Linked DNA regions of Xenopus tropicalis. The protein of the gene in region 1 interacts with the protein of each later gene in a biochemical or structural test. Links are inferred from orthologs where the notes say so. Each region holds a gene or a part of one and is shown on either strand. Other genes may lie near its edges.

Region 1 (4,377 bases):
GACCTATTATCCAAAATGCTCAGGACCTGGGGGGTTTTCAGATAAGGGGTCTTTCTGTCATTTGGATCTTCATATTTTAAGTCTACTAAAAATCACTTAAACATTATATAAACTCAGTAGGATTGTTTTGCCCCAATAAGGATAATTCTGTCTTAGTTGGGATCAAGTACAATGTTCTGTTTTATCATTACAGAGAAAAAGGAAATATGCTTTACAATTTTGAATTATTTTATTAAAATGGAGTCTATGGGAAATTACCTTTCCATAATTTAGAACTTTCTGGATAATAAGTTCCTGGATAATGATAAAAGTTTTCATAGCACAGAGGGAAAAAAATATACAAATATGATTAGCCAATTTTTAAGACAGCTTTTACCCCTCATTTAATGTTTTCTGTTGTAGTGTAGCCTCATGACCAGGAACAAAGCGAAAAAAAGCAAAACCCTACCCCAAATTTTATTATAAAGTTATGAGCAATCATACAGTTGTTGTCTAGGTGGTCACAAGGATATCCAGCAAATATCACACAGTTTTATCATTTAAATACAGTACACATTTTGGGGTATGGCTGATCACACACCAACTAATCTCCATGTGATTGGCAGTTCTGGCTGCTTAAGTAGATGCTAAACTGCTTCTGCTTCTTTTGAGAGGAGAGTGACCTTTGGCACCTGGTCTACTGGTGATCCCCAATATGGGCTAATGACAGATATCACCAGATTTTTAGGAAGGACAGACCAACTTCAATGTGTCTACTCAGTTTACTATCACAAAGAGACGCAGAAACAATATGGGGAAAAATGCACATGCTGTTTTATGCAGCAACGCAACCACATAAAGCATATGAAGTAAAAGAGCAGGTAGGAGCTACAGTGGGTTGAAGAGAAGTGGAAAGTACCAACAGTATAATATTTTAGCTGCTTGTCCCTTAATAGATCATGTATGTTCTTATTGGTAGTAACATTTCCCTCATTAAAAATGTTTTGCCCATTGACTGAAAGATCAATCTCACACCAACCTGGTATAACTATGTAGGAGGCCTTGAGTTATAACAGAGCGCTTGTGCTTGGCACAGGATTTGCTCTGTTCAATTAAAGCCCTGCCCAGCAAGTGATAACATGGGCATACAACCTGCGATGAGAAGATTTTCGTTCTCTCTCACAGATTATTTCATTCAACCCGAAGGTTGATCTAGGCCATAAATCATACATATTTAATAAAAATATATAAACTTAAAAAGTGCTCAACTGAGTGCTCTCTGAACATTTACTTAGCTACCAGAGGGATGTTGGGAGTTGCCATTAACAGTTAACATGCTGAATATGCTTAATGTATATGTTTAAGGTATGTAAAAACTGTATTTGAATTCTTCCTTCCAAGAGAATCTCTCTGATGCTGCGAAAACCTTGTTGCAATCCATATTCTAAAACTGGCTTTGCTTATACTGTAAGTAAGTATTCTGAGACCTTAGCACAGCTCTCATAGATAACAAATACAAATAAACAATGCATTACTGCTTATTACATTTGAAACAATTAGTTATCAGCATTTCAGTAACTGCTAGAAAAGTCCCATATTCCTCCCATACAGTAACAGCACATCATCTCCTTGAAGGTTTTTCTAAGCTCTTGGCTTCTTAGTGCATAAATAAGTGGATCAATAACAGAGTTGCACATAATAAGGATAAGGTAAATATTAAAGTGGGACATAAAACACACACAGTAAGGGTTTCTAGGGCAAGAAACATAGAAAATGAGATGAAGGAAGAAGGGAGACCAACAAGCTACAAAAACTCCAAGTAAGATTGTAAGTGTAATGGCTCCTTTCATATTGGTAACCTGTCGTACTGAGTTTGTCCCAGGTAGAACAGCAATCCTCTTAATGTGAAGCCTGGCCAGCATGAACATATGCACATAGAGGGATGCCATCAGAGCAAGCATTGTGAAAATTATACTTATCAGACAAATAATTACAACAGCACTGTCATAATAAATAATAAATAAGACACCAGAAATGGAGCAAGCAGTCCAGATGCAGCTGATAATGACCACTGCTCTCCTCACAGTAATTATATTATGGTACTGCAGGGCATAAAATATAGTGAAGTACCTGTCCACTGCTATCGAGAGCAAGCTGCAAATAGAAGCCAGCAAGGAGCTGCAAATAACAGAATCCAAGATATTGTCAACATTCACAATGATATGCTGCGTATTTTTGTCCGTAGTGTTAAACAGTGTGATTACTACAGTTTCAAAGCCATTAGACACACTCACAAGCATATCAGCTACTGCCAAGCTACAGATAAAGAAGTACATGGGGGAATGCAGATTCTTGTTTCTCGATATTGCTGCTATAACCAGTATATTTTCCATCAAGCTTACAATACCCAGGATGACAAACACTTCAGGGGACACAAATAATTGTTCGTAACAGCCTCCGGAGTGATGGCCTTTCTCTTTAGTGTCATTTGCTCCAGCGCCAACGGTGCGACTGTGGTTACGATAGTGCAGGTGATGTGGCTCATGGTGATGCGTGAAATTCATTATTCCCACCATTTACTTAGTGATGAAAAACATATGATTGGCTTTCTCCCAGAAGCTGCCAAGTTTGATATTATCAATTATGAAATGCAATCCAGTATGTTAATAGGAAAAAGATCCACAGTGGCATTTATGACAAGATATGTACGTTTCTTCAGATCTTCCGATTTTCATGCAAACTGCTTCCTGTATCCATGGTATTTTATGACCAAAAAAACTTTGTAGCTATTTTCTAGGTTATTCCAATATGTTGCTTGGATACTGAGAGGCAGGATACACAATGCTATTTCAGACTTCAGATGCAGCATCACCAGTAAGGCAGCCGAAGATTTTATACAGTGGAAAGCAATAGAATGAATAAACCCCTCCACCCTTTGTGTAGCAACCAATCAGAATAAAGATAAACTGGTGTCTGCAAATGCTAATTATACGGCAGCGGACATGCCAGACAGATCTGTGATATAATGCTTTCGTTGAGATACAAGGGAATGGAGAACTTGCTACAGCCTTCAATCACAACATTTGCCCCAAAAGGTTAATGCAAATCAATTTGTTCCAGTTACAGATGTCTTCCTATTGTGAGGATGCAAGCTTTTTGATAGATTATATCACCCCCTCTACCCAATAAGGTTTTTTAAAGTGCCATACAAAACTTGCTGCAGAAAAGACCTTGAGTAAAATGATGAAATATAATAGAAACAAATATTTTAGCTACATTTCTATATACAAAACAAAATGCATCTAAAACAATATTTTTTCATATTTTTTATTTCTTGGGTCCACTAGTTGTACCACTAAAATGCATATGCTTATACAGGTATGGGATCCATTATCCGGAAACCTGTTATCTGGACAGCTCTGAAGGAGGCCATTTCCCATGGACTCCATTTTAATAAAATTTTTAAAAGTGATTCCCTTTTTCTCAGTAATAACAAAACAGTACTTTGTACTTGATCCCAACTAAAATATAATTAATCCTTATTGTGGGTGAAACAATTATATTGTTTATTTAATGTTTAAATGATTTTTAGTAGACTTAAAGTATGGAGATCCAAATTATGGGAAGATCCCCTATTCATGAAACCAGAGGTCCTGAGCATTCTGGATAACAGGTCCCATACCTGTACTCAATAATTCCACATGGGCCACAAAACTACTTATAATATTATATATGTGTGCAAATTACATGAAGTTTTATTAGATACACTGCAAAGTGCCACAAACTTTAATATAGGTCAACAGTGAGTGAATAGCTAAATTACTTTCTGAGTTATACTACATCAGGGGTCCTCAAACTTTTTAAACAGGGGGCCAGTTCATGGTCCCTCAGACTGTTGGGGGGCCAGACTATAGTTAGTCCTCACACTATGCCCCCCCCGGCCCCCACTGCATCCTCACCCCTGGCAGCGTGGTCCCCAGCCTCAGTGCTGCGGTGACGCAACGCGATGGGGCCCGAGGACCATGATAAGGCAGACAGGTAGTAGCCAGGGTTAGGGATGCAGCGGGGGTGGGGGCCGGGTAAATGACCTTGGGGTTTGAGGCCCCCTGTACTACATAGATGTTAACATGCATAAAGAAAATATTTTTGCATTGAGTATATTTTTTCTGCCAGCAACTTTTACTACATTTCAACACACTTTATTGACCATTGTTGAGTGTATGTACTGTAAAAACAACACAAATCTTTCAAAAAGATAATGAAGTCATAAACATATTCCTGTTTTCCAAACAGACCTATTGAACTATACCAAACCAAGTAGGCCTTTCCAAGTACGCATTTCATCATTCAACTACTCCTGCCACCTCTTACTGAATTCGGTAGTACACTGCCGGTACA
Region 2 (4,310 bases), on another chromosome or scaffold:
GTCCCACCCTACTGTCCCACCCCACTCTCCCACCCCACTGTCCCACCCTACTGTCCCACCCCACTGTCCCACCCTACTGTCCCACCCCACTGTCCCACCCCACTGTCCCACCCTACTGTCCCGCCCCACTGTCCCACCCTACTGTCCCACTCCACTGTCCCACCCTACTGTCCCACCCCACTGTCCCACCCTACTGTCCCACTCCACTGCTCCACCCTATTGGCCCACCCCACTGTCCCACTCCATCCACCCTACTGTCCCACCCTACTGTCCCACCCTACTGTCCCACCCTACTGTCCCACCCTACTGTCCCAACATACTGTCCCACCCTACTGTCCCAACATACTGTCCCACCCTACTTTCCCACCCCACTGCTCCACCCTATTGGCCCACCCCACTGTCCCACTCCATCCACCCTACTGTCCCACCCTACTGTCCCAACATACTGTCCCACCCTACTGTCCCAACATACTGTCCCACCCTACTGTCCCACCCCACTAGTACAAGGCCAACCATGACTTTAGAAAGTCCAAATTTAGATGAGCAACTGCCATCCTGAAACAGGAACGAAAGAAAACACTGAAAGAGCTTCAATAGTTACAATTTATAATAGCATTTTCTTCAATTTTGTTCAACTTATTCTTTTTTTCTTGCTATAAGGCCAATGATATGTAACTAGTAGTCTGTCCCACTGTGTAGTAAAAGTAACTTTTGCTTCTTTAGCCCATGTTAAAGAGTTCAATATGGGACCCGTTTTCCAATACTCCTGATATTTCTGATACATGTAGTCGACGCAATCAAGACCTGTTGTGGATTCTGTTAGGGTGGATAGAGGCAATTGACCCCCCTGATCCCCATGTAAATGCCCTTTCTGACCAACACCTGTTCCTTTAGTGGCTTTTCCCTATTAGATGGAAACTGGCCGTCACCCTAATTAAAGAGTAGCAAAACCAATTGGGTTCAACCCGCTCAGAATACACCATTTACGTATTTGCCTTGATCATTTATTGCTATTTAATGCCAACTGCAAAGGGTGAATAGCTTCTAATTAATCTCCGTTAAAAAAGTTCAATCCCGGGGGATTGGGGAACCTTTGTCTTTCTATAGGGAAGGTGCTAATCCCTGTTGTCCACGGAGATATCATGTACATGACTTTCCAGCAACCTTTTCTTTCCTAATCATCCGTTCTGTCTCTTACATGCAACCTTATACCCTGACTTTTCTCCTCCTCCTCCTCTTCTGCTGGGAAAGGTCTGTCCGGAAGATCCTCCGTTCCCTTCTCCCCCCTAGACAATGCTAAAATGTGGTATATAAAGACCAGCCCTGGAGATGAGAGAAGGACACAGGCAAAGAAGTGCACAGCTTGGAAATACTGAAATCAACAGGTAAGAAAGCCCTTTCCCACATACAGTCTCCCTTTCCTCATACATTGCTTATACCTAAGCCTTCCCCTGCCTCTACTTTATTCCTTTTGATTTTTTAAAGTTTAGAAAAAGCCCCCCCAAAAATATTTAATATTCTTTTATTGAAACAGGTTCCCTCTTCGTTTGCTCTTCTTTTATCTGTGTTTTCAAAAATGTACTGCATTGCAATTTCATGGGCAACGATATTAAATAATGACATGAAACAATTTTTAATGGCTTTTAAATGTAATAATATGTGTAAATATAGCAGTTTTAAAATCTAAAATGGTTTTAACGATTTTGTAATACAGGTATAGGATCCGTTATCCAGCTCCAAATTACAGATAGACTCCTTTTTAATCAAATTTTAAAATATGTTTTCCTGTTTTTTCTGTAATAATAAAACAGTACCTGTACTTGATCCCAACTAAGATATAATTACCCCTTATTGGGGCAGAACAGCCCTATTGGGTTTATTTAATGTTTAAATGATTTCCTTTTCTCTGTAATAATAAAACAGTACCTGTACTTGATCCCAACTAAGATATAATTACCCCTTATTGGGGCAGAACAGCCCTATTGGGTTTATTTAATGGTTAAATGATTCCCTTTTCTCTGTAATAATAAAACAGTACCTGTACTTGATCCCAACTAAGATATAATTACCCCTTATTGGGGCAGAACAGCCCTATTGGGTTTATTTAATGGTTAAATGATTCCCTTTTCTCTGTAATAATAAAACAGTACCTGTACTTGATCCCAACTAAGATATAATTACCCCTTATTGGGGCAGAACAGCCCTATTGGGTTTATTTCATGGTTAAATGATTCCCTTTTCTCTGTAATAATAAAACAGTACCTGTACTTGATCCCAACTAAGATATAATTACCCCTTATTGGGGCAGAACAGCCCTATTGGGTTTATTTAATGGTTAAATGATTCCCTTTTCTCTGTAATAATAAAACAGTACCTGTACTTGATCCCAACTAAGATATAATTACCCCTTATTGGGGCAGAACAGTCCTATTGGGTTTATTTAATGGTTAAATGATTCCCTTTTCTCTGTAATAATAAAACAGTACCTGTACTTGATCCCAACTAAGATATAATTACCCCTTATTGGGGCAGAACAGTCCTATTGGGTTTATTTCATGGTTAAATGATTCCCTTTTCTCTGTAATAATAAAACAGTACCTGTACTTGATCCCAACTAAGATATAATTACCCCTTATTGGGGCAGAACAGCCCTATTGGGTTTATTTCATGGTTAAATGATTCCCTTTTCTCTGTAATAATAAAACAGTACCTGTACTTGATCCCAACTAAGATATAATTACCCCTTATTGGGGCAGAACAGTCCTATTGGGTTTATTTCATGGTTAAATGATTCCCTTTTCTCTGTAATAATAAAACAGTACCTGTACTTGATCCCAACTAAGATATAATTACCCCTTATTGGGGGCAGAACAGCCCTATTGGGTTTATTTAATGGTTAAATGATTCCCTTTTCTCTGTAATAATAAAACAGTACCTGTACTTGATCCCAACTAAGATATAATTACCCCTTATTGGGGGCAGAACAGCCCTATTGGGTTTATTTCATGGTTAAATGATTCCCTTTTCTCTGTAATAATAAAACAGTACATGTATTTGATCCCAACTAAGATATAATTACCCCTTATTGGGGGCAGAACAACCCTATTGGGTTTATTTAATGGTTAAATGATTCCCTTTTCTCTGTAATAATAAAACAGTACCTGTACTTGATCCCAACTAAGATATAATTACCCCTTATTGGGGGCAGAACAGCCCTATTGGGTTTATTTAATGGTTAAATGATTCCCTTTTCTCTGTAATAATAAAACAGTACCTGTACTTGATCCCAACTAAGATATAATTACCCCTTATTGGGGGCAGAACAGCCCTATTGGGTTTATTTCATGGTTAAATGATTCCCTTTTCTCTGTAATAATAAAACAGTACCTGTACTTGATCCCAACTAAGATATAATTACCCCTTATTGGGGCAGAACAGCCCTATTGGGTTTATTTCATGGTTAAATGATTCCCTTTTCTCTGTAATAATAAAACAGTACCTGTACTTGATCCCAACTAAAATAGTTTATAGTTAACTGAATCTATCATGGCAGCAACTGGTTAATGCAGAGACACACATATATAAATAAATAAGTAAATATATATATATATATACACTCACACACATATTTATTCAATAACGTCGCAGCAATGAAAACACTTTACTGTAGAACAGTTTGAAGTTGGAGCTGAATGGCTGCGCAGCGCGGGGCTCCATACAATTCATACAAAGGCACCAAGGTTATTCTTCAAACCCTCTTATCAATATTTATTCTTTTTTATCTCTTTATTTGGTGAGTTTTATTGGCTCTGATAAACTTACTGTATATGTAATGTGTATCCTACACCGGCGTTAGAGTTGTTTAATTCCAAGCAAGTTATACAGATTATGTCCAATGTGTTATTTGGATTTAATTATAGTTTTATTACACAAGGGACTAAACGTTTTTCACTGTCATTCTTTTTCCCATATATATATATATATATGCAGTATATATATATGTATATATGTGTGTGTATGTGTTTGGGGTAACAGAATGAAAGTGAAAACACAAGAACAACAGATCCTATTAGAAACACAACCCATTCATTCATTTTCTATATAAAATATATAATAAAATGTATTATTTTGACTCACTTACAGTTGTATTGGACAAGGGACTAAAAGTTTTTTACCTTCATTCTTTATCCTATGTATCTATCTCTCTATACAAGTCTTTTATGGGGTAAGAATGAAAGCAAAAAGCTACACAAAAAGAGTATATTCATAATATAATTATATACATTCATAAGCTTTTTTATCATTCATTA

Evidence for each region.
Region 2: the proteins of mc4r (region 1) and pomc form a complex in vitro, tested with the Homo sapiens proteins (2 studies listed by BioGRID). The link is inferred for Xenopus tropicalis from reciprocal best matches to the Homo sapiens genes MC4R and POMC.

The regions. Positions count from the first base shown.
Region 1 is NC_030682.2:84,341,295-84,345,671, forward strand, and holds mc4r (melanocortin receptor 4), read right to left. Parts: upstream 2,847-4,377; 5' UTR 2,556-2,846; coding exon 1,551-2,555; 3' UTR 228-1,550; downstream 1-227.
Region 2 is NC_030681.2:153,208,610-153,212,919, reverse strand, and holds the start of pomc (pro-opiomelanocortin precursor), read left to right. Parts: upstream 1-1,346; 5' UTR 1,347-1,385; intron 1,386-4,310.